Neodiprion lecontei: one gene and its partners. The protein of the gene in region 4 purifies or fractionates together with the protein of the main gene of each other region. This does not show direct contact. Links are inferred from orthologs where the notes say so. Each region holds a gene or a part of one and is shown on either strand. Other genes may lie near its edges.

The links.
Region 1: the proteins of intraflagellar transport protein 57 homolog (region 4) and intraflagellar transport protein 74 homolog purify together in Homo sapiens (affinity purification with mass spectrometry; 3 studies listed by BioGRID and IntAct, counting the BioPlex papers as one, with this or other methods). This does not show direct contact. The link is inferred for Neodiprion lecontei from reciprocal best matches to the Homo sapiens genes IFT57 and IFT74.
Region 2: the proteins of intraflagellar transport protein 57 homolog (region 4) and intraflagellar transport protein 22 homolog purify together in Homo sapiens (affinity purification with mass spectrometry; 3 studies listed by BioGRID and IntAct, counting the BioPlex papers as one, with this or other methods). This does not show direct contact. The link is inferred for Neodiprion lecontei from reciprocal best matches to the Homo sapiens genes IFT57 and IFT22.
Region 3: the proteins of intraflagellar transport protein 57 homolog (region 4) and intraflagellar transport protein 80 homolog purify together in Homo sapiens (affinity purification with mass spectrometry; 3 studies listed by BioGRID and IntAct, counting the BioPlex papers as one, with this or other methods). This does not show direct contact. The link is inferred for Neodiprion lecontei from reciprocal best matches to the Homo sapiens genes IFT57 and IFT80.

Annotation. Positions count from the first base shown.
Region 1 is NC_060260.1:40,246,919-40,254,227, reverse strand, and holds intraflagellar transport protein 74 homolog, read right to left. Parts: upstream 4,383-7,309; 5' UTR 4,304-4,382; coding exon 3,885-4,303; intron 3,800-3,884; coding exon 2,269-3,799; 3' UTR 2,225-2,268; coding exon of another isoform or gene 2,058-2,224; 3' UTR 2,006-2,057; downstream 1-2,005. Other genes in the region: leucine-rich PPR motif-containing protein, mitochondrial, read left to right, coding at 1-1,695, 1,821-1,974, 2,058-2,224; SLIT-ROBO Rho GTPase-activating protein 1, read left to right, coding at 5,382-5,460. UniProt on the Homo sapiens protein: Component of the intraflagellar transport (IFT) complex B: together with IFT81, forms a tubulin-binding module that specifically mediates transport of tubulin within the cilium. Binds beta-tubulin via its basic region. Required for ciliogenesis.
Region 2 is NC_060263.1:3,109,102-3,115,567, forward strand, and holds intraflagellar transport protein 22 homolog, read right to left. Parts: upstream 4,036-6,466; 5' UTR 3,548-4,035; coding exon 3,500-3,547; intron 3,343-3,499; coding exon 3,173-3,342; intron 3,112-3,172; coding exon 2,912-3,111; intron 2,835-2,911; coding exon 2,665-2,834; 3' UTR 2,088-2,664; downstream 1-2,087. Other genes in the region: mediator of RNA polymerase II transcription subunit 15, read left to right, coding at 152-632, 930-1,099, 1,258-1,804, 1,903-2,018; 3'-5' ssDNA/RNA exonuclease TatD, read left to right, coding at 4,533-5,471. UniProt on the Homo sapiens protein: Small GTPase-like component of the intraflagellar transport (IFT) complex B.
Region 3 is NC_060261.1:34,086,611-34,096,699, reverse strand, and holds intraflagellar transport protein 80 homolog, read left to right. Parts: upstream 1-2,670; 5' UTR 2,671-2,817; coding exon 2,818-2,912; intron 2,913-3,096; coding exon 3,097-3,275; intron 3,276-3,333; coding exon 3,334-3,444; intron 3,445-3,665; coding exon 3,666-3,844; intron 3,845-3,976; coding exon 3,977-4,066; intron 4,067-4,145; coding exon 4,146-4,283; intron 4,284-4,376; coding exon 4,377-4,501; intron 4,502-4,613; coding exon 4,614-4,862; intron 4,863-4,974; coding exon 4,975-5,138; intron 5,139-5,206; coding exon 5,207-5,404; intron 5,405-5,478; coding exon 5,479-5,629; intron 5,630-5,730; coding exon 5,731-5,902; intron 5,903-5,935; exon of another isoform or gene 5,936-6,117; coding exon 6,118-6,240; exon of another isoform or gene 6,241-6,406; coding exon 6,407-6,546; exon of another isoform or gene 6,547-6,632; coding exon 6,633-6,771; exon of another isoform or gene 6,772-6,909; coding exon 6,910-6,993; 3' UTR 6,994-7,006; exon of another isoform or gene 7,007-7,916; coding exon of another isoform or gene 7,917-8,036; intron 8,037-8,187; downstream 8,188-10,089. Other genes in the region: lysosome-associated membrane glycoprotein 1, read right to left, coding at 1-259, 1,723-1,774; bcl-2-related ovarian killer protein, read right to left, coding at 7,917-8,036, 8,188-8,637, 8,701-8,952.
Region 4 is NC_060262.1:42,130,792-42,138,396, forward strand, and holds intraflagellar transport protein 57 homolog, read right to left. Parts: upstream 4,343-7,605; 5' UTR 4,043-4,342; coding exon 3,885-4,042; intron 3,809-3,884; coding exon 3,527-3,808; intron 3,213-3,526; coding exon 3,044-3,212; intron 2,843-3,043; coding exon 2,734-2,842; intron 2,585-2,733; coding exon 2,388-2,584; intron 2,275-2,387; coding exon 2,130-2,274; intron 2,031-2,129; coding exon 1,864-2,030; 3' UTR 1,326-1,863; downstream 1-1,325. UniProt on the Homo sapiens protein: Required for the formation of cilia. Plays an indirect role in sonic hedgehog signaling, cilia being required for all activity of the hedgehog pathway.

The DNA of each region.
Region 1 (7,309 bases), on a different chromosome or scaffold from region 4:
GATGCCTTTAAGGTGATAAACTGTTTCCGCATTTTGGATGGGGCGTCTGACACATCGTTGAATGATCTTACCGATATCTTTTTGTACGAAATAGTCAAGGCAGAAACATCGATCGTAGAAGTATTTGAGATTTGTGAAAGTCTAATGTCTTCCACGAAAAATTCGTCACCTTTACTAAGAGTTACCGAAGCTGCTCTTCGATTGCAGAAGCAAGACATTGCTTTGCGAGCGTTTGAAATCATGAAAAATCAAGGCATTGAAATAAGACCTCACTTTTACTGGCCCTTACTTGTCAACACAGCTTCAACCAAAGGTGAGACTGATGTGCTCAAGCTGGTTAAGCACATGGTTGAGAATGGCGTTTACTTAGATGATGAGACATTGTGTCATTACGTATTTCCGTTTTTATGCGCACCAAAGCCCCTGGTGATTATTAGAAAATTGCAAGATTGTGGTTTGAAAATGTCCGATCTATTCGGAGTCTTGTTGACAAATTATTTAGACCAAGGAAACCTGAAGGATGCCATAGCTCTAACAGAAAAAATCAAGGTAAAACTTGATCTGTACATTGTCATAGAAAGACTTGTCAGTGGATGTAGAGTGACAGAAAGTTTTAATGAAACAGTACAATTTTTGAGAAACATCAACACGGATAGTGATCAGAATGGAAAATTCTTTGAGGACCTAATGGCAAATGAAAGAATAAAAGCAAGCAATGAGGAACTTGCTTCTCTTATTTTTGCCTTTGACAAACACAATCTCAAGATTTCTAAAACAGTTGCAGACGCTTTGGAGCTAAGAATATTGCAATTAGCGGAACCTGAGAGGTCAATGAAGACGCTCAAAAAATTAGTCACTGCTGAAACAAGTACAAATGATGAAATTCCGGATGTATGGATACCTCACCCTGAATTAATGAGTCTTGAACAACTGGAGAATCATCTCATTGACCTAACGGCTAAGGGTATGAATACACGAGGTACTCTGCGAAGACTCCTTCAAGCTTATTGTAGAAAAAATAATTTTAAGAAAGCTGAGGAAACTGCAGAATTGTTTAAGGAGAAGGGATTTGAATGGACGTCCGGAATGATTTCCAGCATGTTTTCCTTATATGTCACAAATAATATGATCGATAAGGCTGATGTATATTTCAGAGATCTGAAGACAAATCACAAAGACTTTATAATCGATGATTACAAGGTAATTGATTATGCTACAGCTCTTGTAAAGAATAAAAAATTCGAAAAAGGTCTGGAAGTACTCAGAGAACAGGAAAATGTTACGAGTGGACCCAAAACTATCAGAAACTGCTGGAGACTTTTGAATGCAGTTGCTGCAGATGGAAATCTGGAAGCCACAAAAAAAACGTTGGATATCTTACTCGAAAAAGGGTATTGCGAAGTGAGCATTCATGTCCTCAGTCCATTGGTCAGGACAAATTTATTAAATGGTAACTTGGAAGAAGCTATTAAACAATTCAAAGAGTGTGCACTTGTGTATAAACTGACACCTCTGAAACAAGAACTGCTACGTGCTCTTGTAGATATTTCTACCGACAACCCTGATGCTCAAAAACAGTTGACAGATGTACTAATGGTGATAAAAAGTATTTCTGGAGAAGCAGCAGGAAACTCTCATTTGTTCACGGCATTAGCGGCAAGGAATAAACACAAGGAACTCCAATCATTTATTAAAGTAAGACTAATCTGAATTTTAAAAAAAAATTGTGACCTTCTAATCGCTGTTGCTATAACACGAATCATTTCTCGTAGTAATTCAATTACCTTTCTTGTACTAAAATAACTCGATTTATTTTTTAGATGCCAGCTGTGAACCAAAAAACAATGGAAGTCAGTGCAAAAAACTTGATGACTGAGCAAAATTTAACAGCCTTACAAGGGATTTTGAAAGCGTGTAGAAATGTGATGAAGCTGGACACACGGATTATTTACGATCTAATCTTGACATTGTGCAGTAAGTAAATTGAGAAATAATTCAAGACAGATTTTTCGATCACAATTTATGACTTTAATCTTTATTTTATTGTGGTCATACAGGTAGGTCTGGTGATTACAAAACAGCGCTAGAAATATGGGATAGAATGCAGGCAGAGGACATTATTCCACTACCAAAATTTACTGAAAATTTAATAAACTTCTTGAACTCGCAGAAAGTTTCATTACCAGACGAATTACAAGCAAAGATGAAAAGAGAGAAACGCTAACAATATTTGAAATTATCTTAAATAGTAAAAATATTGTACATAAACTAATGTATTCCTTTGACGCTTTCCCTTAGTTTAACATTGTACCGATCCACCAGTTCGAGTGCTCTGCTCTTAATTGCGTTATAATCCACTCGTTCGCGTTCTTCCCTGATGAATTTCTGTAATGTTTCATTATTTTGTTTCAATTTCTCAAGTTTATCCTCCAGCGAGCTTATCTGTACATAAGTTTCATTTTTGTCTAGCTGTGACTTGATCTCCTCGTACTCTCCACGTACAGAAGCCAGTTCCTGTTTGATGGACGGCTCGCGCTCACGAAGTTTTGCCCGTTCTGCGATCATCTCTTCTCGCTTTTGTTCAAACCTTGCCTTCAATCCATCCAAATCTTCAAGGACAAGCAACTCACTTTGTTTTTTACCTATTTTTTCTTTCAGTTCCGTTAACTCGACTTTCAGCCTTTTTTCGAGACTCTGCATTTTTATTAAATTCTGCTGCAGCCTTGTGTGCTCGCTGCTCAATCCTTCGATAGTTTGGTCGACATTAATAGGAACGTCCGGGTCTTCGCTGATGGCATGTTGGATGTTCAGGATTGCCAACTCATCACCAGGAGTTAAGTGAGTATCGCTAGAGACACAGTTTGATATTTGTGTCAAATGCTCGACAATTGTAGTCTCTAGTTTATCAAGTCTCTCAAGCTCTTCATGTTTGCTCCTGTCAAAGGTGGCCATGAATTGCTCCATTGCCTCTTCTCGTTTTCTCATCTCTTTGTACTTTACATGCCTTGCTGACTGGCACTCTTCGAGATCTGTTTCCAACTGTTCTAGCTCATGCTCAGCCTCAGCTATACGTCGTTTAAGTTCAGCTGTTTGCCTCTCAGCTGCAGCGACATCTGCATTATCCTGCTTTACCTTGGCCAGGAGTTGAATTCGCTCTTCTTCTGGCGACAGTCTATTCTTCTCTTCTTCTCGTAGTTTATCGCGTTTTCCTTCAACCTCTGAAATCTTAACAAGAAGTTTGACAGCCTCCTGCTTAGCCTGTGAAAGTGCAATCTGCTCTTCCATGGTCGATTTTTCGTTAGATAGTCGATCCAGCTCTGTTTGCATAACATCTATGCTACTCTGCAGTTCAATTTTTTGTTTTGTCAAATCGTCGTACTTAGCACGCTGCTCAATAGTCATTCCTTCGACTATTCTCTCTGCATTCTTCTTTTCCAATTCTACTTCCCTCTCGATGGCCCGAAGCTCTTGTTCTTTTTGCTGACGATGAGCAAACAAATTTTCTATCTCAGCCATAGTTTGGTCATTTTTCACGGCCAAAGATTTAGCCTCCATTTCCAGAGAGTTTTTGTCAGGGTCTAAAGTCATTTTATCAACAACAATGTTATAGTCGGCCAGTTGCCCCTGCAATTCTGTAAGCTCCGCTGCCAATTCTTTGGCTCGTTTATCGTAGTGAAGAAAAGTTGCTCTTTCTCTACTCTGACTGTCGACTTGCCGCGTTATGACTGCAATTTCTTGTGTAAGTTCTCGTATCTTCAATTGTAGGAGACCTTCGTAATATCTTCGATCCTGGACTTGTCTGCAACATTTAAAGCAACGATCTAAAGTATATCACGATATTCGCTGTGTTCTTAATAACTTATTATACCGTCAAAAATCCTTGCCTGGTCATGGGCAGTCCCCTGTTAGTCCCAGGCCGAAGTCCGGCGATTCCTTGCTGCGTAATCGGTCTGTCGACTAGATTGACCTGAGCTGCAGATGGAAGGCCAGTTCCAAGTCTTCCTTGGACAGCAAAAGATCCACCGCTGGTAGCGCTGACCCGGGAGCTAGCGGAGTTAAGTACTCTAGCAGAGAATGCCGAAGCAGAAGGTGGTCGGCCTACGACGCTTCTACCAGGAGTTGCAGCAGTTGCTGCGCGATAATTACTCGATACAGGCATTTCCTGGCTGTCCATTTTGGCCCCTCTCCTCGAAGAAGGTCTCTCGATTCTACTCTGCGGCCTGGAAACGTCTTCCTGCTCTCTTCTCCAACGCGTCAGTGGTCTCTCAGCACCTCTACCAGTTGTAGGTCTATCAAGGTCCATGATTAGCAATTCAGTAAAATTGATTCTTAAGAAGGATGAGATTTGCAGGTGTAGAACTTGACAATTGCCTGGTAGTCATATGCTCACCAGGTATGAACGAATTCTTATTTGTGTACAAATTAGCGTTGCCATGTAAACCCCGCAACAACGTCATGATGTAAAAGTGCGAAGTTTCCACCCTTTCAAATGTGCACCAAATTATCTCAAATGCGATTGGTTGAAAATCCAAGATGGCCGTCATATGTTCTGGGGAAACGGTATTTCATTGGAACACAACCTCCCCTTCCACGTCATGTCATAACTCCGCTAGCAGCTTGTCGACAGTGTTCTTTGTTATCGGCAAAATGGTACCACCTTGGTTTCCCTGGCACCCAACAGGTGGCCGGGTAGCATTAGTCCACGGAGAAAGGTGGTGCACGCGTTTCGAGCAGTCGACTCTGCGTAGTCAACAGTTGCTAAGCAACAAAGCGACGCGGCGGTTCCCCTAAGTTGAATTAATACATTATATCCGAGTCCAGGAATATCCTCGAAGTGGCTACCTACGACGGCTGCACTATTACCAGTAACGACAGTATACCTACGAACGTCGGTCGCATGGCCGTCAGTGGTGCCACTTTCCATTCGACTTTTCCCTCAACGGCGACCGGAACAGAACTTTAAAAACAATTGACCAACGCGTTGCTGCGCGGCGTAACTGTAAGACAAGTGCCTCGTATGCACGTTTGCATGTGTTTGTTATGTGTTGATTGTGTGTTGTGCGTGGACGCGGTACCGAGCGCGCAGTTTGCATACGGTAGAAATAGAGTTAAAGAAAATTCCAACGGTTGCCAGCAAGCAGTGCGTATATAATTTCGAATCTCTACCTGGTTTCTTAAACCGGTTTTGTCAACCGATGAACCTTACTGATCGCCTGTGCCAAAGAATGCTTTCAAATCTGTGACAAGTGGATTGTTTATATCTTCATATTTTTTGTTTACGTATTTCACGTATGTGTACGGATATTGCCAGAGGTTTGCTCACGTAACATCGACGAGCTGAAGTCGGAAGTTTTCGAAGATTTCACGATCACTTGGTTATTATGGACGAGGAGGAGATCGACGGTATCAAATCGCCGATCAAACGGCTTGGATCGACAAGGAAGCTACTCGTTTTTAACAGTAAGTGATAAAATATCACACAGCGCTGAAACAACATCGTAGCCGAAAGGACAACGAAATATGCATTCAACGTCTTTCCGCTGTCATTTGGCTCCGGTGATGTTTTGTCCGTCGGGAAATTTTATGTGTGCCTGATTGTGCGAGTCAACCACAAATTTACGCTGCACAAACGTAATTTTGCATAATTTTTAATTACTATTTATATTCGTATAAATGACATTGCAAACCTGTCCATGTTTATACGATCGTGAGTTGAGAAAGAAAACTCAACATATTCCCAAGAATACGTAGCAATAAAGAAACCGTTTATTTACATTGGTATTGTCTGACGTATTGTCACGTTGTAGCGATTCGCATACCTCACGTATGACTGTAATTACGTAAACATTTGCAATGAAAACTTTTTGTCGTTGTACAGAATTCTCGCCTCTTCTGTTTTCTTCTCATATAGGTATAACAGGTCTATATTTTTACTGACGATCAGCTAAATATCGCCATTGTCAAGAACAACGCCGATCGAATAAACTGACAAATGAAATGTAACGAAATTCGAATTTTTCGGGCGCAGCTTTTTTTCATACGTAGATAAAACGAGTCCGAAATTAATGTTTCGAAAGCATGTAGGCACATTGATATCTCACACTTGAAGATAGATAGGTGTACACATACATGCATTTAATAATTGCATTATCATCACACATTCAGTTACTCCACAACTCCTTGTACGTAATTTTAATAATATATACAGCATGTATCAAACTACAAGTAATTTACACACCGCATAACTTATACATACAACGTGGCATATGTTTATACCCTGGTTTATACTTTCGCTCTGGACTTGCGACACGCAAGATTAACAAGCCGCAGCAGTTGCACACTAACCGCGTCAGCCAATGCAGCAGCAACAATTACCTTTGAAATGCACTTTTATTATTGACCAATTAATCAGGGATAGCTTCTGATTCGAGAAAGACTGCAAAAGAGCTATACAGTCCAAAGATATACCGAAAGAATCGGAAAGGATACTAATATAGGATGAAAAAATTGGAAAAACCTTGTTGAGTCAATTTCCGTTATAGGTTGCTGGTAAAGCTTAGGCTGTCTTCCAAGTGTCTCAAACGGAAAAGATTTCCCATTGTACACCTGCACGGGTGTGCAGTGGTAGATGTACATGCCTATTGTCCAGACTTATATATATATATGACCCTAGGATAGGTAGGTATATACATAATAGGTTTGATGGCGTCGGGGACACGCAGCGGATTGTCGAATGACGCGCCGGAAAGAGCAGATGCTGCGCGGGATTTTTCCCCTCCTCATCATCCTCCTCGATTTCAAATGAAAGGCAAACGGGCTACATCTACAATCTACATACCACGTATTGCAACAAAGAGATGAGAGGTTCGCGTTAACGTTACTTTGGTTCAGATAAACAAAGCGCCTAAGTTCGGTTCCTTCTCGAGCGGGAGTTTAACGCTAGCGTGGACGTCTTGCGACGCCAGCCGGTTAGATCTGTAGCGTAATATCTTCCGACTCGGTAAATATGATCACGAGAAAGGGTTTTAATTTCTTTTTTATGAAATTGCTTTCTTTTTTCTTATTTTTATTTATTTATTTATGTCGACATACATGACAGGTATACTGTATTGAGATTGTCGTCTTGCAATGCGTCATCTGGTGGAAAAAAATCAAACTAATGCAACCAGGCTGAAAGCTGCAACCGTTGACAGTGTTTTTTCGCGTGTGGATAGTAGAACTGGTGTATTATTGATTACATTTCATTAATTTATGTGACGTGAGTAGTTTGAAAGCTCAAGAATTACGATTTGCCGCCATTGAAATTAAA
Region 2 (6,466 bases), on a different chromosome or scaffold from region 4:
TCTAGCACTGTTGAAAGGAATATCGGCAGGTGTAAGCTATAGGGGTAGCGTCAGATTGCGTTTGAATACGTGTGCGACGTCGGGCCCTGGTGGGGTAGCACAACCGCAGAGGTTCCTTGTGTAGTGGCGAGACCCACCCTATGATTTACAGTATTCGCAACAAGGGAATTTTCAACCGTCTCAAATGTCGGGACAGAATCAGCAGGGACCTTACAAGAATAATCCAGTGCAAAACTCGCCGCAGTTTAAAGCTGCAAATCCAGTACATCAACAACAACAACAGCAGCAACAACAGCAGCAGCAACAGTCGGCCAGAACAACGCAGGGCTCTCAGCCTCCAAAGGCACAGCCAATTACTCAGACACCACCTCAGCAGCAGCAGCAGCAGCAGCCTACCACTCCGCAAACTCCGCGTCTGAAGCCAATCCTCAAGCAACCGTCATCTACTCCACCAGCAGTTACTAGTGCTCCTGTTGCCGCTAGCAGTGTACCTGCTGCACCAACGCCAGTAGCTCAGCCAACAACGCCACCAACTGCTAATAATAATGAGACTAAGACTGAGGATACGAAAGAGAGTATGGATGTCGACAGTCCGGAACAACCGAAATGGAAACGTGGAAGGGTATCTGGCTGTGAGTATGAGATTGAATTTCTTTTTTCGTTCAGTTCACATTATACAATATCTAAATGCTGGATAAATCAGTTTTCTGTTACTGGTGTAAGAGTTATGAATTGACAATTAATGATGAAAATTCACTGCGCAAATTTGAAAGTTGTACAGTTAGCTGCATACTCCAAAGTTTTAGTTGTCGAGTTGTAGCAGTTGAACAACTCGTGTGAACATTAGGACTGATTGATTGTTATTTTACTGAGACTTTCATCGAATTTACACATAATTTGATATACTCACTTGAAACATGTTCATTAAGATAAGGTAAATAAGAAGCTGAAGCGGCTTAGGATGAATCAACGACTGAGGAAGGCTCTACAGCCTAAAAATGCGATCATGGTATTGAATGAGATGAAGACTGGAGTACAATTCACCTTTCCGGAGTCACAAGCAGCCATGCCGAACTCACTATTCGTTGTGCACGCCGAAGTAAGTTTGCATGTAGAAATCGGCATTTGTCACTGAAAGAAACATCCACTGATATATTATCCAGTTATCATCGGAATATTGGATGCCTGCACGCAAATAATCGCAATTCGTTTTGTTATCCAAAATTTAGTAATAAAATGACGAAATTATACTTACAGATTGACGGGAAGACTTACGTTGGCCAAGGATTGTCTAAGCCACTTGCGCGACAGAATGCTGCTGAGAATGCGTTGAAGTGTTTGCTCCTTGAGAAAATGACAACAGCCACAAGTAAAGCACGAATTGACGCTGAATCGGATGGGCAATCGATACAACCAGAATCAGCCCAACAGATTCCACCTATCAAAGAGGAAGGCAACGAAATGGCAATTTGCCCTCCGGAAACGGCTACTGAAGAACAAGATGAAGTGCCCTGGAGTTCTTTGGCTAGTTTTGCTCTCTACAAGCTGTTTTTGGAGTGGCAAAATCAGGGCACTGTAGTCCCAGTACCAAGACCAGGTGTTTCTACTGGGCGTGGTAAGAAGGAGCCAAAGGCTCCGGTTGAAAAAGATTTACCAATAAATGCGATCAACATTCATCCTGTCATGTTGCTCAATCAAATGAAGCCTGGGTTGACATATGTGGAAATTAATCGTACCGGAAACCCACCAAACACAATGTTTACTTTAGCTGTGGAAATCGATGGAAATGAGTATCCTGGTTCTGGTAAGAAATTTCGTAATTACTGATTTCCCGAGTATTTTGCTATTTTGATGCGATTTGTTTATTTTTGAGGGTGATAACAAATCTATTTCTTTTTACAGCCAAGAATAAAAAGGATGCCAAAAAAATGGCAGCTAAAACTGCCTTGTCCGCGCTTTACGGTTTAACATATCCCGAAGAAACAAAGATGGATCATACAGAAGACATGATGTGTTGAATTCTTTTACAAACATCTTGTTGGGGTGATTCGATTTTCCATTTTACACTTACTCTATTTTTCTTTCGCTTGATATTGACGTTTATGTAGATTGTAGAACAACTCTGTGTTTATTCAAGATCATAGATTGTTGAAATCGTGAGTAGTACAAAGGTATTTTTGTTAATTCCGAATCATCTGTTCAATTGATCAAATTTTATTCTGTTTATTTGCTATTATATTAGCAAATACTTTACTTTTATTTCGTAACCTTAAATTTTAATACAGAACAAAAGTATTGAAATTAGAAATGTATTTTATCGAGTAGGATAATATTACGTACAATGTATAATAATTAATAGCTTAAGGACACCTTATTCTTGCGACGTTCAAGTATAGAATATTATCATTGTGGTGAATCCTGCTTTTTCTTTTACTCACGTTGTTTCCGTTTGAAAACACTCATTTTTACCGCTCATTGACAAAAATAATGTATTAAAAAGTAATTCATTATACTATTAATTACTGTTGACTGTAAATCACATGTTAATGCCAAATACAACTTACCACAATCAGATGTTTCATAATTCGCTTACCTCTACATTCAATTTAGTAAGTCACTTTCAACTATTCAAGTAGTAATACTAAGTTGAGTTTAAATTTTTCTTTAAGCGGCAAACAATATATTATCCCGCATAAGACTCATCTCTTCCTGATCTGTGTGCTCTTGCAACTTGCTGATCAGAGTTCCCAAAAACGATTGAAAATCAACTTTCAATTTATTGGCACCTTCTTCAGTATTACAGCTTACTTGCGATATTCTAGACAACTTGGGCGCTGTAATAAAACAGCAAGTTATAATTAATACATAGTTCATGTGAGGAGAAAAATAAAATCACTATATCATTTCTTACACATCTTTTTAGGAATTTCGACACTGATATTATCTTGATCGTGATGAAAGATGACACAATTTGTTGGACCAAGCCCAGTTTGATTAACGAAATAATCGTACAATTGTTCTAGCTCACGAACATAGTCCTGTGATTTACCGTTGTGTACAAAAATCACACCATGACTTTTGTCTCTTACAGCTGGCCAACAGGTCTCGAATCTAAAAGAGATGCAAAGTCATTGACGTAGACGTTGAATCACAGCGATATTGGTTAATTTACCTGTGATCGCCGCTGCAATCCCACAATTCTATTTCAGCTTTGACAAATTTATTCCTGACATTGATGCTTTGTATTTCAAATTCAAGTATTCGAACACCTTTGGTAGGCCTGTGTTCTGATGAAATTTCTGTTGCATCCGCAAGAAAATTTGATATCGTAGTCTTGCCGCTCTGCAAAATATATGAACCATAAATATTGAAATTACAACAATTTTTCTGACTACTAAAAATATCTACGTACATAATATGAAGGCTAAAGCAAAATTTCAAATAATTGTACTGCAAAATTATAAACACGTGCTGTACAGATTTTGTTTGAAAAACTCACTCCGATAGGTCCCACTACTATAATTTTCAATTGCTCGTCGTTACTCATCGCTCAAGAATTGCCTCAGGCTTTCTGTGTCCATACGGTACGTGTATACGTTAGTATTCTATTGCCATGGTAACCAGCAAGGGGCAACAGTTGCCCGCACAATATACATTTCACTACGAATGTCATTTTTCCTTGATATTTTTTCATAAACAGCATTTGTCGCCGATCAATCAATCTTAAAATTTTTCGATTGATGTATTTCGTGTAAGGAAATTTGAACTAATACCAATAATATGTACAGGAAGAGGGACAGCTATTCATTTATTCTCGCTCGAAAATTCTGTGAACCTAATCCTTATGTTATTCCGGTACAACGGAAAAGGTACGCGACCTCTTGGGAGAATTAATCGAAGAATTAGACATCTGAAGCGTGGTTTAATGAACGTCAATCGTGACCCTTGTCAAGGGGATTTATCTAGAGATAAAAATAGCACTCGAGCGGCGCCTGTGCGTCACAAATCAGTCCAATTCGTTAAGCTTCATCCGCAGCAAAGGCAGTCAACGGCAAAGTAGAAACACTGCATACCATTGGTCGAGGAGGTTCGAACGAAGCTTTCGGACCAATCAAAACTGCGAGCGATTTCGGTCGCGAGTGAATGGTTCATTGGGTACCGGCTTTGAGCCAATGAAAGACAAGCGCAGGGGTTGATCACACACACGCACGTAGAGGGGCATATGATCGTGTGCAATCCACAACACTGGTTACAAATGATACACGGTAGAGAAAGCATTAAGCAACGTGTCTGGGAATTAGAGATTACCTCATTGTGGTCTGATCTTTGTTCGTAACAAAAATATTGTAGTAAAAAACTTGACTTTACAGCTGTGATTATCGGTTCGTCAATATATCAAATGCAAGCTAACGTGTTCCGGTAATAACAATAATCATAATAACCGTAGTGAATTGAAAATTTAAATCGGTCCAATTATTGTTAATTCCTTAATTTGCACGTAAAAAAAAATATATATACATAAGTAAAATAGCATGGCCGAAAATGCCAGTGGATCCTGCACGGAGTCGCCAAAGGCTTCCTCAGCGGCGATGACACAATGCTACGAGAATTACATACTGGTTGACGTTGGCGCTAATCTAACAAATAAAAAGTACAGTCGTGACTTAGACAGCGTTATACAGCGGGCAAAGGATTCCGGTGTCAAGAAGATCATGGTCACTGGAGCGAGCATCAGGTCGAGCAAGGAGGCGCTGAGATTGACGAGAATATACCCAGGCACCTTGTACTCAACGGCAGGAGTTCATCCTCACGACGCCAAGTCCTGGGAGGATGACGAGACGTTGCAAGAGCTCGAGAGTATCGCGAGTAATCCGGAGTGTGTCGCAATCGGGGAATGCGGCCTGGACTACAACCGCGACTTCTCTGACCCTGAAACGCAGCGCAATGTATTTCACAAGCAAATCGAACTTGCCTGCCAGCTCAACAAACCATTGATAATTCATGAACGAAGCGCCCAGAGCGATGTACTGGAAGTTCTAAGCCATTACTCGAACCGGTTACCCCCTGTTCTTGTTCACTGTTTCACTGGTACGGCGGAAGAGGCCCAGCTCTACCTGGACCAAGGATTTTACCTCGGCATCACCGGCTATCTCTGTAAGGACAAATCGGACAGCGGCGTCAGGCAGCTTTTGGAAGGAGGACAAGCTCTTCTGGACAGAATCCTTGTTGAAACGGATGCTCCTTTTATGTACCCAAATACAAGGGCCAGCAAACTACCATCTCACGTTAAAGACGCCTTGACTGAGCGCTCCATGACCTTCCTTCATCGGTACTGCACATTTCAACGTAACGAGCCATGTGCCTTGCCTGCGATAGTTGAAATGGTTGCCGCATTCATGCGCAAGTCGCCGGAGGAAGTTGCCCTAGCCACTGCTTTCAATGGTTTGAAATTATTCGGACTCAATCAATGATGATTTATGTCCTGTTTTACTCGTTGCTCAGATTTTCTTCAAAGGGCAGAAAAATGGTGCTAGGAATACGGTGCTCCGAAATGTATTTTTCCTTGTATCAATAGGCAGCTTTTAATCTGCTTCTACAAAAGCGGCCAATTTATTTCCTATCGTATTTATTTATGATTTTTATTTATGCATTCACTCATTCGATACTCTTCAACTGTACGGTTGATCAATCCGTTACGAAATAAACTTTAGACTTTGACTATTTGAGATATTGCAAGACTATTATATTCTCCGCAATAATGATTATATTTGATAAATATTTTCAAAGAAACTAAATTTTTTTTATTATCGCATGAAAAAAAAAAAAAAAAAAACTGCATTTAACTCGCTTCTAAATTCTCTCATTATTCGTAAAGCCAGATAGGAGTCCAATTCTTTTTTTTTTTTTATAATGATGCAGATTTTGACACTTGGCTTGTACGTATGTTTTACGCTTTTAACCATTTACAATATGCTATTTTTATCAATCGACAAACTTATCGAGTAGCAATAGAATGACGATTATATTCCTGTTGATATATTATATATTTTGATATAATAAACTGTTATACATCAGCATCTTACTTCTTCACTGGAACAGATTATTTTCGTTCGTTGTATATTCCTTCAAGCATAATATTCCTTCCTTTCAAACCTTACATCTGTGCGATTATGTATCTCATTTTCCCATTTTCGCTTTTAGATACAGTACCATGAAGATATCTCATTTCATTTGGCAGAAATTATGCAACAATATTTGTTATCAATAAATACTTTTATTTACATTCTCTATAACTAAGATGAAAACTCATTTTGGTGTAAACAAATTAGACGTAGCAAAAGTAAAATAAAATCTTTCTTTACGAGCAGAAGCAACTGGAGTATCTCATTTACGTTTCTAAACACAGTTCAGAGTTTTCGAAACCTACATCCGGTAATAGCGTCAGTTCATTTTGATTCTGTTATTG
Region 3 (10,089 bases), on a different chromosome or scaffold from region 4:
ACATTAAACTGAACAGCCATCTTTACTATAATACAAGTTTCGTTAGTCTCATTGACGATCCATTTTCCTATTTCTGGAGTTGGCACAGGTGTAGGTGTGGTCGTTGGTGTAGGCATAACTGAAGTTGTTTCGGTTGGAATTGGTGTAACCGATGATGAGAAAATTGTAGTTCCATTGGTAGGTTGATTTGTGTTTTCAGTAGAGCTGGCCACGAGGCTGTTCGTGTCAATAGAACTACTTGTTGGAACAGTTTCTGCACCTGAGAAAATTAAAACTGAATTGAGTTACAAATAAGTATGGGTTTTTTCTGTGACTGATTTGTGTTCAATTTTACCTAACTTACATATCTTTACCTTATAAAATTTTGTTGTAAGAAATACAGGTTGAGGATCGTTTATTTTATAGTAAAACATACATACTTTGTCAATAAAATGCAGATTATGAACAATCAAATTGTTGGTAGTTGAATGTTGGCTGGGATTTATATGTCTGTTGTGGTCTTTAGTCATCATTTATTTTCAAGAATGGCTTGACCTTTAGAGGCCGACCTGACTCTTTTTGGAACCAGCATAACTACGAGACTCCACGGGAGGTATTAACTATTTACATACATAAAACATGCCTCTAAAAAATATCGAATTTCAAGAGAAAAATACCAGTCCTCTAAAGGTTAAGAAAGGATTCATTTCATCTTGCAAATAAGAACTGACTATGTATACTGGCCTGTTGAGAGCAGAATAGCTCGCTCTTTGTTTTAGAGGATTCAATATCACTAAGGAAGTTCTGGTTTCACATATTGCTATCACTTGTTTCAGATAAGCAACTGACTTGACTCACAGTGTATAATGTACTGTACTTAATGACCTGAAGTATTAATATGAAATTGTTTATGTAGATATGCATGTAATGCGTGCATAAAAAAATGTGATGAATAAATAGCTTTATCCATAATTCATTGGGATGTTTTCAAGACATAAGTCAACAGTATCCATTATATTTACATTGAAGGTTATCATATTGTAAGTATATCCACTGTTAACAGTGAAATTTGATCTGCAGACCTCACAGTGTCTCTCAACCAGACTTTCAAATACTTAAATTTGTGTAAGCATACTTTTGATATTGGATTGTTCTTTCGATTTGAAACCGATTTGGACTGTCCTTAGACTTCAGGGTATAGTTAATATCTTATTGTTCAAAACTGATTGGGCAAACATCATACAATAAAAAATATCATGCTCCAACTTGGAAAAGATAAATACTATTAATCACATCAGACATTTTAAAATGTTGAAGTAAATATTCTCTTTGTTAATGATCGATTTATGTGAAAAGGAGATTAACAAACTAATTCAGCATTCTGCCAAAGTTGAGGGGAAAAAAGTTATTTGTAATCTTGAATACGTAAAGAATTGATATTGAGCAAAGATGTGTAGCAATATTCAGATTAGCAGAAGTTGACAATGTTGTTTTTCCAAAGAAATATTTTAAACAAGACGGAGTAAAGTACAGTCATATAGATGGACATAGCTCTGAATCAGTATTCAGAGATTGGAAATTAGTAATTGTACAAGATGGCATAAATTCATCACGGCTAACTCTTGTGTGAGCTGTCACATCAAACAATAATGCAACGTCACGAAACGATAACATCGATCATCTGCCATTGCAAGGATTTGTAAAGAACTCGGAAATCCTTCTGAAATAAAATTCCGACATTACCTGAATGCAGTACTGCCACCGAGCAGAGAAGAAACAAGGCGGTTTGGAACATTTCTAAATACAACGATAATAAATTTCCAGGAACTATTTACTTCAGCACTGATATTCACTCGAATATCTTATAAAATGCAAATCTCAAACAATGCGGAACTTTCCGAACAAGTTCAACCATAGGTACTCGAATGGCGTAAACTCGGTAAACTGCAAAATAAAGTTGACTATGAAGAAAAAACCAGTCTCCACAGCTTACGGATTTATGTCCCCAAACTGATCAGTTTTTACTGTAGTATATACATATAGGTATGTGACTAATAACGGCTGTGACGATCGTTCCAGGCCTGTGACGTCCTAACGAACACTGTCGGACACGTCCAACAGTTAGACTCCGAAATATGTCGTGAAATTACATAGACGCACAATCTGTAGTTTTCCGTTGTTAGCTAAATTTTTATAGACAGCAAAATGCTGCTGTAGTATTTTGACTAATAGGAATGCCAATTCGGCAGAGAAGCGCTACCCTAGAGTCGGCCTTACAGACCTGACTTTAGCGTTACCCACTAATCTAATAGAGATCTGTGGCATTATTACGCATTCTGATTGTTTGACTACATTTTGCAACCCAATCAGAATGCTTAGGTGGTGGAAAATGTGGAAAATGAACATCCGTAATAAGCACCCAGATATGCGTGGAATGCTAATTATTTATTTTCTTGGCATTCCTATTAGTCAAGAACTAGGCAGCTAAATACATGCGTTACTGTTACTTGCGTGGATCAGAGCATAAACCATGCACGCATTGTACAAAAAATTCAAGTTTTCTCATTAAATCGAGTTTATTATGTCAATAAATTTCGTGACGTCACTAACTGGCGGCAGTAAGCTGTCGCGCGATTTCGTAACGCGGTTGCCAGTACTTGCAGTACTGCCAGTATATTTTGGAATACACCCACTGTGAAGTTGGTTGTCATGACAACGTACCCGCGTAATGGCAACGCAACGTTGAAAATTACAATTAACTGAAACGTCAAAGATCGCAATACTTACACTTTGCCTCATTCTGTCATTTTGGTCACGGGTGAGATATTATCCAGAGCAATGCGATTTAAAATATCATTACGAAATACCAATGGACATAAAGGTTTAGTCACGTGTGTAGCTTGGAACTCTACTGAAGAAATATATTCTTGTGGGTATGCATACAAACACACAGTCCAAAACGACGTTTTATTTTCCATTGTGAATGTACTTATTCATGTATATAATATATTCCCAAACGCAAATACATACACACGTGCATACATTCCCTATTAAAAATAATATAGTTTTTCAAATTCAGACAAAGTACCATTTTAACATATTTCCACAAACTTGCAGTGAAGACCATATCTTGTTATGCTGGCGACTGGAAGGTGGCACAGTGCATTCATCAATAATTACAACTTTTCCATCTGAATTCTGCCCAACGGATATGCAATGGCATCCTCGGCCTATGCAGCCGAGTATGTCTTCAAAAAAGCAATCTTTCGATATCCTCTTAATTACAACAGCTGATGGTAATGCAACTATCTTCAATAGACTTAATTGTAGAATAAAAGTTAATTCTGTTGACAGGTAAATTTCATTTGATTAACAAAAATGGACGAATAGAGAAAAGCGTCGAGGCTCACAAGGGAGCTACACTCGTCGGCCAATGGAACAACGACGGTTCTGCCTTGATGACGAGTAAGGTCACTTACAAATTCAAGTATACAAAATGATTCAGTGAGAATAAAATATTCAGTGACTTTGTTTTTGTTAACTTCAAACTGCACACGTTTTTAATAGGACTGCCATATCTAAGATAATCGTTTGCTTAAATCACTGAAACAGCCGGGCACACAATGTTTTCTGTAACAATAGTCCTATGCGTAGTTCTAAAACTTATCCTCAATAATGAATTACAGCAGGAGAAGATGGGCTTGTGAAGATATGGTCACGCAGCGGTATGCTTCGATCTACAGTGGCTAGAGGCAGACAACCAGCTTTAAGTGCTGCATGGAGTCCGGACTGTTCTTCAATTCTATATGCACTGGGTGCGCACCTCTTGGTTCAATTTTTCAACACAAATGCTAAACCTCATAAGGTAGTGCTTCTATTACTAGTGGTTCTATTACTAACCACTATAAACTGTTTGGAGTCAGCTGCGGCCACAGTAGGGTATATTCTCAGTTGAGTACTAAATAATTGAATGGGCATTTCTTAAATTTACTGATAGTGGCATGGACATGATGGACTGATTCTAGCTGTTGCATGGAGCCACAAACACGGGCTTATAGTATCTGCTGGTGAAGACTGTCGATATAAGGTAATTATATTAAAATTATGCAAGTAGGTTTCATGTATAATTTATGGAAAATTTCATTATTTTACCAACTTTCTAATAGGTTTGGGACTCTACAGGTAACCAATTATACTGCAGTAGTGTGACGGAGCATCCAATTGTATCACTTAGTTGGTGTGCCAGCGGTGATTACTTTGCTGTCGGATCCTTTAATACAGTCCGATTGTGTGATAAAACTGGAGTATGTTATTCAATTTGGTCATATCATAATTATACTAGCATTTAGTTGACAGAAAAATAATGCGTTTGTTTCCAAATGTTTTTATCTTTCAAGTGGTCCCACGCTTTGGAGAAAGTCAACACTGGAAGTATTTATTCCATAGCATGGTCAAGTGATAGTACACAGGTAGCTATGGCATGTGGAGGTGGTGGAGTTCTTACTGCACATGTTATTGATAGGTATAAAAATGTTTCACATACTTGTACTACAAGTCCAGTGCACTTGACCTTCGAAAATTTTTTTGATATTTAATAAATTGATCACTAGCATAATTTCAATTTGTTGAATCAGGCGACTAGAGTGGAGCAACTATGAGGCAACTCTTGTTCGACGTAAGACGATTGAAGTCAGAGAAGTTGGTAGCGAGCGACATGAAACTCTTGAAATATCAGATCGAGTAGTTAAGATGGAATTTGGATTTGGTCACTTAGTCGTCATCACACCATCCCAGTGTCATGTTTATGCAACTATCAACTGGAATACCCCAGCTATATTCGATTTAAAGAACGGTTCTGTTTCTTCTGTAATTTTAGCTGAAAAGTATGTGCAAAAATATGAATAATAACATCAAATTAGTGCACAGAAAACATGCAGTCCATAAATCTTTTCTAAGGCTATCACAATTAATAAGTCATTTTTATTATAATTTTAGACACTTCTTACTTGTGGAATGGAATGTTACTACCTTGTATAGTTATCAGGGTCGCTTATTGGGTATTCCACGTTGGAAAGGCATGACCCAGGAACCCATTCATACTTCGTGCATCGCTCTCTGTTCTGACACGCTCGTTATTCGAGATCAGAGTAATAATAAATGTGAGTAATTGACTTGATGTACCTTTAATGTAGCAATGCAGTTGCCAATGATGATGCATATTTTTCAGTACTGCACGTTTTAGAAGTGTCTAGTAATAAACCAATTATGGAAGGGCAACCCCACACCCATCTCCAAGGAGTTTCTCAGCTTGCATTGAATCATGTTGGTAGTGTTACTGAGCGACAACTAGCAGTCATTGATGTTAATAGAGACTTGTTTCTAATATCAATTCGAACTAGTGGTTTTGGAAGAGTTTGCAAGATTGGTATGCACTTTGAATCAGCCACATAATACTCAAAACAGCTTAAAATTTGAATTATTACTCAAGTATCTTTACAGCTGTTATGGCTCAAAGTATTCAATGGGCTACAGATGCCAATATCTTAGTAGCGATGTTAGATGTCACCCTTTCTGTTTGGCTATGCCCAAGTTGCGTGCATTACAGTGATAAAAAAATGATTCGAAAAACAAGAATCGATAAAAACAACAGGTAAAAACAATAATGTAACCCATGTAACAAATTAGAGTTACAACACAAGTCCTTCATTTGTAATACGTGTATGTAACTTTAATGACTTTGTGAATCGGTAGCGAATTTGGAAAGCAACCAGATATAGTGTGTGTTCAGGGAGGATTAGTTACTGTCAGGCGAGGAGATGGTGCTCTGGTTACATCTGCCTTTTATACTTTCTTTACGAGTTTGCACCAGCATATAATAAATAATAGATGGCAAGATGCACTTTCCTTGTGTCGAATTGCACAGGTAAATATCTTGTTTAAATTAAATAATCAATTATAATGGTTTCATTCAGTCTTTAGCAGTTTGATCTAGAACATTTTTACAGACAATCGCATTAATCATTACAGAAACCTTGATTTTTATAGTATATGTTGTATGACAAAATTTTACATACTAAAAGTATATGACTATTTATATTTATATGCAACACAGCTTACAAGATATTTATTTTTACTTAGAATGATATACTGTGGACTTCTATGGCAGTTATGGCAACAGATGCCAAAGAGTTGAGTGCTGCAGAAGAGGCATATGCTGCTATAGGCAGATTTGATAAGGTTGATTACATTCAGTACATTAAGGTGAGAAAACCACAACTGTAACTTATGAGCAATCAGATATTGCGATTATACTCTTTCAAATAATATACCTAAGACGTATACATGGTAGTTGAAAAATAACATTTCACATCATGCTTATTAAAAGAGGATCCAACCACACTGTCGGTAACAATTAAATTTTTGACAGCTCTTGCCAAATAAAATCGAAAAACTGGCTGGAATGACTTTATTGGCAGGTGATTTGTTGGCTGCAGAAGGAATCCTCCTGCAAAATGGCTTAGTTGTTGAAGCGATTCATGCCAATATCAAAATATATAACTGGAACAGGTATATTCATGATAGGTTATTGTTCTGCGAATTTTAATACTAAATATCTAATCAATAAATACAGCTGATTTACGCTTTCATGATAGGGCATTGGAGCTCGCAACCAGGCATAAGAAAGAGTTGGATACGGTACTACAGGCTCGCAAAAAGTATCTTCGTATTCTAAATAAACAAGAAACCAATCAATTGTATTTAAGTCTGACGGTGAATACATTGAATGAGCAGGTGAGGATTATTTGTTCTATATTAGTCCGTCCATTCAACATTGAAAATACTCGTGATATTCATTTATCATGCACTATTTTTCTCATTCTTAACCAGCTCATGTGTCAATAATGAAATTTTTTTTTAATGGGTGGCTAGGAAGTTCACTTAATGTCCGAACCAACTGAAGAGCCGGAAAAGCTTGACAACGAATCTGAGAAGTTGAACTTCTTGGAATTGTAATTCACAATTTCAGGTCAGTGTACTACATATCACGAATTATCAGAGCATTGTAATAAAGCAGCAATAGAAGTGACGTGAAAGTGTCTCTTTGAAAGCACTGCTAAAGCACTAACAATATGTAGGTATTTCAGAAAATTTTTTCGCAGATTGAGAGACTTTATAAGAATTTTCCAGGACATGCTGTTTGATGTAATGTAATCTTCAGAGAAAAATTTGCTACCAGATTATGGGAGAAATGTAATACTTAACTCAGTGTCGTAACATAGGCACAATAGGCATGATTTCATCCCCAGAAGCTATGCATTTCTTATGGAAGGAAAAAAAATTTTGACTGTGAAAGATTAATGTGACCTCTGGTTGATTATCTCATCATTTCTGAGTTGCTCGAAAAGTATTTAATTTTTTTGAAAACCCCTTATGGCTGATAAATGTGTATATGAGCATATTACAGTTCTCTAATTCTTTCTGAATAACTTTTAGTATTTCTGATATACCAAACTTTTTCACATATTTCAGTGACATTCCGAAAACGATTTTATCAGTGAAAGAAAAGAGTAAAACCAACCAAATTAAATTATAATTATGGACTTATTTTGCAATAATTATAATATTATACATCTGTTGTTCAATGTAGGCTAGTTGTCACGAATAAAGTATTCTTATAATACTAACTGAGACCGAGCCATGTTATACGTCACTGTATATTATTGGCAACAATTGGCGTAAGTTTGATACCTACTAGAACATTATGAATCTGGTTTAATTTTGGTATACTACAATTAATGCACAAAGTGTTAAAAATTGTCTTCTACTGTATCTATTAACAATGTCAATATATTAAATGTAGGTATCTTATGAAAAGATTTCGCTGATGATATACCTCTTACCTTCCTCAATTGTATAAAAATATCCTAAATAAGTTTTTATGAATATAGAAATATCACAGCTATGAATATGATAGTCAATAAAAGGAAAAGTGGAAGCCCGTAAACCTGCCAAATAGTCGGTTTTACCACAGGCCTATATCGAGTTGTCAGGGCACTCTGAAATCATTCAAATTTTGGTTTGCCTGTTACATTTAGTTCATTGTATATGGTATTCTTAAAAGTCATTGTGCACCAGTTGCTCTGGTTAATTAACATAAAATTTACTGATCATCATTCGATGAGCAGTTCCTTGATATTAACTATTTACCCATCCTCCGTTAGCTTGAATCCATGCAGCCAAATCATCCTCGAGAACTTCCATCATTCCATGTTGGATAGCTGGGAGATACTCTGGTTTTCCTTGGCGAACACAGTCCACTGCTATTCCACCAGCAACTGCATACAAAGCAATTATCTTGCTCCAAGTCATTTCCCCGTTTCTCAACATTTCCCTTGATACATCAGTCAACACATCACTGGCAGCTTGCTCCGAACTGAAGGTACTACATCCCACTTGCCGTCCGATTTTTGTGAAAAGATGAGGATGCATTTTCTCTAACTCTGCACCAATGCTTGTGAGCTCCGGATAAACTTCTCCAACTACTGTACCACCTGGAAGTATTATTTCGCTTCTCAATCTTTTTAATCCCAATTTTCGGTGAAAGATTCCTGAACGCTTCAATCTATTGCGAATGTATTGGCCACACAAGGAAGTTCCCTGAAATAAAATATGCCAACTGTCAGAAGACAATTATTTTAAATATTCCATGTTTTTACATACCTGAGACACTGCAATTTTCACAGATGCAGATACTGATCTCCAGCCAATGGTGTGCGATAACTTTCTAGATACCACGTCACTAACATTGCTGAATCTTCGCCGTGCTGAACCAACTACGTGAAAAGACGTTGATTCGTGGGTAGATCCGAGTCCGAGCAAATTGGAATGCAAAGATGCTGCCAAACTGCTCCTTCGATGAATAGCCTTTGCTCCACCATCTTGGCTACGGCTACTCACGACAATCCCTGACATGGTAAGTAAGAAAGTATCTTCCCATTCAGGTAACAACTTATTATGTTGTCCGCTATTGAACAAGTTTTACAGGTTTAAAAAAGATATAATATTTGAATAATGTCGATTAATTAGACTATCAACAAAGACTCTTGCGAATACCATACTATTAATTTGTTATTTTTAGAAATTTCCTCCTCTTTATTTCATGCACAGCAAAGTATGCTCTCCTAAATCACTTTGATGCTTTAATGATACACACAGATATGTAGCAGGCACGACTTCTGAGCTGTTCAGCAGGAACTGATGATTCTCATGCGGAGCACGTTATGCGTTGTTGATCCGAAGACCTTCTTCAGACTACCAGTGAAAAACAAGTAGTCTGTAATTATATGCATGAGCTAACAGGGCCTTTGGCTTAGGAACACGGATGAATATTGCAAAAGGAAGCAAAACATTCAAGTTTTTCGTCATTTTCGTGAAATATGTAATCTTTGTTGCATAAATAATATAGATAAATATTACAAATGAGAACATATTGTAGCATACCTAAGAAATGTCGGACACCTTTGTCTGCACTGTTTAAAAATTTATCAAACTCACGATAGTTAAAATTAGCATCTGAAGATAAAATGTTGAAAATTAATTCATGAGTGTAAGTTGGGATCTTTTTTTTGTATTTTACGTCAACTGAAGAATTATTTCTCATTACGATGTACAATTATGGTAGTCAGTTAGTAATAAAGTTTTATAGATGCTCAAGTTAAAACCTGTATGCTGTGATTGACAAATGGCCATCTAAAACTCATTTTGATCCCTAATGAAAGTCAAGTGGGTACTGTAAGTTATTATTATTGACATATTGTCAAGACCCCCCAGCTACGTATTTATGCCTTCGGATAAGTATAATGCGTGTATTGCAGTAATTTTTGGACAGTTGAAAAGAGGCTTTACTATCATTAATTTCAACTAATACTAGTAAAAAAACGTTGATACAATCTTGTGTATAACTACATTAGAGTGCTAATTATAATTTCAATTAACGGTCACTATATATTACAGCTGGTCATTCTTTTTAGAAATTTTCATAAATCTTTACACTATTAGTAATGACGGCCAGGTATGTCTCATACGTGAATAGGTATAGTATGGTATGGC
Region 4 (7,605 bases):
ATATGATTAAATTTTAATTTATAATGAACCTGCCAAGGAATGGTATACTTTATATTCAACTGTAAGAACCGCTTTTAAAATCTTATCGTTAGTATTATTACAGTCTAATGTCCATCCACCATTATTTTCGATTGTCGATCATTTATTACCTGCGGCGATAGTTGGACCGCGTAAATCTTGAGGGAGGAAACGGTAGCTTCGATTAATCCGAATTACAATTGGACGAGGAAAACCACGGGGAAGCTTTATTGCTGTAGTATAATTATCTACACGTCGTTTTACGGTTTTCGCACACTCGATTTATAAGCACCTCCAAAGGATAGTTGCAAAACAGCGACAAGAGAAATGTATCTGTACACTCGGAAACCGCATCACTGAATGCTTTCGTAGCTCGTAAAAGGAATACGAGAATTAGTGATTTACACTGCTTACGAGCGGGAGAGAGCGTGGAGAGAGTGGGAAGTTGAGGAGGGTGACTTATGTCTGAATAATATCTCAGGACCAAAATCAAACTGCAGTAACTAAAAAAATTTCGTTTCTTCGACACTTCCGTCAAAACTTATGTAGTACCATTTAATACTTTAATTTGAACATATATTCGTAAGTAAACTTTTTTCCAAATGTTACGGTTTTGGTTTCGGCATGCGATATGTATCTATACGGCGATACTTTGATGGGTGATTGACTGCTCGATCTCAGCACGTTCCCGCGTTTATGTAATCAAAAATATAAAAAAACTGTAAACCCAAGAGACTGCAGAAAAAAAAACAATAATTCAATCAGAACTATGAGTGAAAAAAAAAAAACAGAGAAAACAAAGAAAATGAATGCCCAGTTACGAATGTGTTAATATGGCGATTTACAAAAAACGTAAAGAACTTTTTTAAAATACAAAGTTTTGCAGGAATTATGGCTATTACACAGTATCGGAAGCTGTTTAGGGTTTGGTATCTTCTAAATAGTTACACTCTAAATACGAAAACTAATAATTTTTGTGACAAGTGCGCATAAAATAAGGATGTCTTGACGAGCGTAAAACACTAGTGCGTAGAAATTGACTTTTAAGCACTAGTTTCATCAAAATTTTAGTATATTCTATCCACTGCTACTAGACGCAACGGAATAAAATTTGGTAAAAGATAGGTAATCATAGATTTATAACTAAATTTAAAACTGCGAGTTCGGAACTTTGTCATAATTTAATTTACAAACCTAGTTTCGATGCTTGATGCATGGCTATAGTGTTTCACAGCAAAAACTTCGTTCATAACTCCTACAAGTGATCGGTTATCGTATAACTTTTATGTAAAATATGAGCGGCGAAAGACTGAGAATCATTAATTTAATAAATACATTTATGTCAAAGGAATGATAACAATTTATGCTGACTAGTTTATAAGTTGCGATGTGTCTTATTACTAACCGTGCAATGATCTTTACCTAGACACGGTTGTAGTTTCCGTTTATAGTTATAGCTTATCAACTATTTCGGTGGGATCTCAGGTACTGATAACGGTGGTGAACAAGGCACTATGATAGCGTCAAGGAAACGTCTTTCGGATTAATTAATAGTGGCTATGATCAATTTGTTTTCCGTTCTTTTTCACCCAGAGATTCAGCTACCGAAAAAATTTTCTTCAGACATATTATGGAACGAAACTAAATACTCAATAAGAGAAAATGAATAATATGCAGATATGCTGTTTGTAGTACTTCCATTTCTAATACCAAGTATGAAAAACCTAGGTAATAATCCAAAGACAGTAATATTAACTGATCGGATAGAAAAGTTCCCCCGCAAATCTTTCAGTCGCACACGAAAAATATGCACGAACTTTAGGTATCTATGACCTTGAATTTTCCTCAAATCATCAACGAGCTGCTTGTACTGTTCATATCTTCCTGAAGTTGAGTACGATCACGAACTCTGGTGCACATCAAGCTGTATTCAAGAACACCGATTCTGACGTTCATCTCCGAGATTTCGTTCTTCATTTTTGTAATCGTTTTTTTGATATTTATCAAGGGAGCTGCAGGAAGAAAGTTGAAAAATTTTTTTACATCCACACTCAACGATCCATAATTAACTAATTCAAATTGTTTAGTATTGAACTGCAATTGTTACTTACTTCCATCTGTCATGCTTGATCCTCTCTCATCCATTTCTCGCTTAACTTGCTCTAATTCGTCAGTTAATTTATTTAGAGTTCTCGTTCTCTCAGTCACTCCACCACTGACGTCTCTGTACTGTTCCTTCACTTTCGACATTTCCTCCTGATCACAGAGACAATGCCAAATGATGAAATTCAGTAAATACCTCTGTAGTCTTTATGGCTTGTGTGAACTTTATCACATTGTCTTAGATCACAGTAAATCCATTTGCTTACTTGCAATGTTTGAAATTCGTTTAGGACAGGCTCCAGTTGTCTGTTTACATACATTTCTCGTGTTTTTATCTTATCCAACGTACTTGCTATGTCGGAATGCAACCTCTCTAATTGGCTCTTTGTATTGCCAAGATTCGCATAAATGTTTGACCGATGTTGTTTCATTTGATCCAAGTGAGCTCTCCAGTCTCGGGAATCTGTAGATGATGAACTTTTTTTATTACGAAAGTTTTATATATTTCTGATACAGAAATTGAAATAAAAAACGTTTAACAACCAGGAAAGGTTTTGAGAAAAACCACGTCGCTATACATGAAATCAATCAATCAATTATTTGAATACTTACCAGTTTTTACAGTTACCTTCAGCTGAGGTAAGACTCTCTCTAATTCGAGTTTCCATTCTTCCATGTCTGTTTTAGACTCAAGGATATTCTCCGGCTTCTGAATGTCAAGCTACAAAATATTGTATTAAAAAAATTAGGATTTTTTTGCATTCAATTTTCCATGCACTTTTATTTTTTTTTAATCATAGCATTTTCGGTGAAATCATTTGAGAGGTAACAGAATGCATTTACAGTTTTTCTGTCGACCATCTAAATTGACGCTAATGTACAAATAAAAATTTGTCAAAGTCTGAATTAGTTTACTAATTACCATATTTTGTCCATATAATTTAGTTATGTCATCTACATGTAAAACGTCATCCTCGTCCTCCTCCTCATACTCAGCCAACATTTCCTCCTCAACTTTTTCCAGTATCAACTCCGCATCGTCATCTTCTATCTCAGGTTCCGGTGTAGGATCTTCTGGGGGTATTTCAACTCTGCATCAATAAAGACACTTGAAATATGCGATCTACTTTCATCCGTAGTGTTTCAAGGGAAACCACTTTGGGCTTTCGATTTGGCATGTTGACTATCATTCGTGATAACATTACATAGAATAAATGGAAGCATATAATTTAACGTATTTGTGAAATCTGAAAATTACAAAACGAAAGGCAGATCTTTGCAGGTTTGATTTTAAACTAGAGCACCCAAATACAAAATGATTAAGACCATGAATCAAACATTAACAATGCCCTTTGAAATAATAATGTAGGTATAATTCAAGCCTGTTCATATCATTCCTGCTTACTTTTTCCATTTGAAATTGACAATTCTGATAGCCTGATCAGCGAGGCAGTCCAATACATAAATAGCATGCTCGCCAGCGCCCTGCTTTAATTTGTTTGGAGGAAATTCGACGGCAACGTCGATAGCTCTGAGGTGATCGAGAATCATGGATATAGTTGAGTTTGGATCATCGTATTCCTGCGGCTGTTCAAAACTCGTTCCACTTTTCCTTATCAACCAGGCAGCAAGCGAAGTAAACATGTAAAACTGCTCCCCCGAATTGGTCGCAACAACAAAGTAATGCCTGTTGAATTAATATCGCATGGTGAAAAAATTACGCAGGCAAATGAGTAGGATCCTAGTTAGTAAGAAGACCGTACCTGTTTATAGGTTTCATTTTCATATTTTGTACGAATTCAGTGTCGTAATTGAGGATTTTCAACTTATCAATTAAATCCTCCATGCGTACGCTGGGCGCGTAAGCTGCGCTAGGCGCCGTCGCATCTTCAATTACGATCTTTGGTGTTTCCCGAAACATTTTCACCTGTTATCAAAATATGCGGACGTTCCTGATCGTTTTGCTTTAACCAAGTCCGTGGCTTTATCTGGCTGTCAGTAAATGTATGACAAGTAAACAAACTCGCGTCATTTGAGGATCGGGATCGCAACTTCGGTGGCTCTCTTTAGCATGAAGATAATGAAGTTCGCAACGTAATCCGCGTCGGTAAGACTCCTTTCTGTCGGATTTGTCGGTTTCACGCTTACCACACAAAATATCACTGACAGTGGAGCGCGTACGATTGCTTAGAGCATACACCATGGAGAAAGCTTGGCAGCGGAAAAAGCATGGAAAGTGTCCCCGAGTGCGAAAGAGAGGAAAGCTAAGACTCCATGTGTAACGTCCGACCGGAACGTCCGTATGTTTTATCGATTATTATTACTGCATGTTACTTTTATCAACTAACCAAACTCGAAGTACGAGAATCTTGTAACCATAAGAAATTAAAACAACTGTCTAACTATTTGGAATACCCCTAGATGGAAATAACTATGAAATTCACTAGCCAAGGCTTACAAACCATGTTACGAGATCTTCGTACTACAGAGAACTATAATATTATTATACGTTATTATATATCACTATCACATTAACACTATAATTAACTAACACAATTATACCCAATTATTATATAGCACTCAGCAATGCCATTTGTGCATTCGGAGCTGAGAGCTATACTTAAGCAACATACGCTTTACTATATAGCCTGGAGTATAGAAGACTGTAAAACCATAGATAAATGCATAACCAATATAATGTAAAGATAGCACTGCTGCAATAACCCATAAAACCAGAGACTGCAAAACCATCAAACCGTGAATGCTAATTACCCAGCATGAACTATACCTTCTTCCGCAACGCCGTATTGTAGGCAACACGCGCAACGTTTTGAAGGCAATGCAGATCTCCAATGTGGAGCCATACAGAGCCTTACCTAGAGAATACATTAGGAAACTTACCGACGAAACGAAAACGTTCTAGAAGCTTCCAAGCCGATTTATATCAATATAAGAATTAACAACTACAGAAGGGAATCATATACAAAAGCACACATGTAAACCTGCTCTAAAGCTATGAATCATCAAATTACTAGGTATTCTAAACCTGTTAAGATAGTTATAACACAAACAACTAAAGATATTCGCAGCAGCGTGATTCTAATAATGTTAAACAAATAACAAACTATGTTCATAAACAATTGCTATTGCACTCCAGGTTAACAACGACAGTAGTCGACTTTAATACATATGCAATTCTATATAGATACAACTATAAAACTAACAACGACAGTAGTCGACTATAATACATATACAATTCTATATAGATATAACTAATAAACTAACAAACGACAGGTAACCAAAATGAAATATGGGCTTTGTAACGAGCAAGATAGCAAAAACAGTAAGAGATAGACAGGTAGTTAAGTGGCTGAGGGGCGCCAGAAAGGGGGCTGGCGCCACAAAGGGGGCTGGCGCCACAAAGGGGGACTGGCGACACAACGAAAAGCTCACGCAGTTCGGAGAACTACGGAACCAAGTCCACGCACCTACACCACCGCACCAAGCAGCGATATACCATACGTAAAAACCTACAATATAGTAATAGCTAAAGAAATAAGATCACAGGCGTGCATGCGGCGAAGATGTCGTGCCCTAATTAGAATTCCTAGAAAAGAGGGGAGGTGCGCAAAGGCGACCAAAAAACTAGAGAGGGGGATCGTTCTGCGCAACGATCGACCCCTATAAAAACGGCGACCGATCACTCGATCGCTCTCTTGTGTTTCTACCTCCAGATTCGTCATCTAGTTCCGGTACAGTCTCGCGGTAAAATCCTTTAGCCTTTTGCATTAAAACTTTCATACAACGTTACTCTGCCCAAAAGTTCAGCGAGCTTCAACTCCATTTTTACTAAGTCTAAGATCTTACACTGTGTAACTCTGCGTTTGTGACTATTAAATATCAAACTTATAAAATAAACCAAGTTAGTCAAAATATCCAAATATTAAAGTCGGTTATTTCGCTAAAAACCTCTCACCAATCTACAAGTCATCGCATCCAGAATACTCTCAAAAAGGTAAGCCAAATTAAATCTTTTATCCAACAATTTCTCCCTCTTCGGTTCGTTCGACTAGAGCGACAGAATGCCCGTTGTCCGGTGTATTTCAATACTTAATCGGTAATTGGTGACCCAAACTACTGATGTGAGTCTGGCTGTAACTGTGTGTGAATGTTTCCGGTGTCTAACATCTGGAGATTTCCACTAGGTACCGTTCCGACGTCACACCATGTATGCGTTGAGCTCCGGCAAATGCTGCGGTGACCAATCAGGAGCCCGGCGCAAGTCCGGCAGCGGCAACCTCCGGCACGCCGCACCGCACTGCGTTGAGATCAAAATATTTTAGTTTTTCCGCAGTGTTACGTGCCAGCCGGTATCCACGGCGGCGCCCTCCCTACGCCCTACCTGACCAGCGTGCAGTTACCATAAGAGAGCCTTACGTGCTCTTACCGATAGTCGTAGATTAATACTAACACACATAGTCACCATCATAACGTCCAAATTCTTATATCGATAGTCCTCATACGCTAGATTAACCGTTATTTTATCAGTCATATTCATAACATACATGGTATATATTTTTTCCCATTTAACCGTTATACCTTTCAACATTAGCTTTCACATAAAACCTTTGATTTACGATCTCAACCGTAATAACCCAAAGTAATAAACACCTGCAGTAATTAAGATAATCGAGTAGACTAAACACCGGAAACATGGGAAGAGAAATCACGGATAATTCACAAATAAAGAAACCCCTATTCCCAGAATCCAGGATAGTGTAACGTCCGACCGGAACGTCCGTATGTTTTATCGATTATTATTACTGCATGTTACTTTTATCAACTAACCAAACTCGAAGTACGAGAATCTTGTAACCATAAGAAATTAAAACGACTGTCTAACTATTTGGAATACCCCTAGATGGAAATAACTATGAAATTCACTAGCCAAGGCTTACAAACCATGTTACGAGATCTTCGTACTACAGAGAACTATAATATTATTATACGTTATTATATATCACTATCACATTAACACTATAATTAACTAACACAATTATACCCAATTATTATATAGCACTCAGCAATGCCATTTGTGCATTCGGAGCTGAGAGCTATACTTAAGCAACATACGCTTTACTATATAGCCTGGAGTATAGAAGACTGTAAAACCATAGATAAATGCATAACCAATATAATGTAAAGATAGCACTGCTGCAACCCATAAAACCAGAGGCTGCAAAACCATCAAACCGTGAATGCTAATTACCCAGCATGAACTATACCTTCTTCCGCAACGCCGTATTGTAGGCAACACGCGCAACGTTTTGAAGGCAATGCAGATCTCCAATGTGGAGCCATACAGGGCCTTACCTAGAGAATACATTAGGAAACTTACCGACGAAACGAAAACGTTCTAGAAGCTTCCAAGCCGATTTATATCAATATAAGAATTAACAACTACAGAAGGGAATCATATACAAA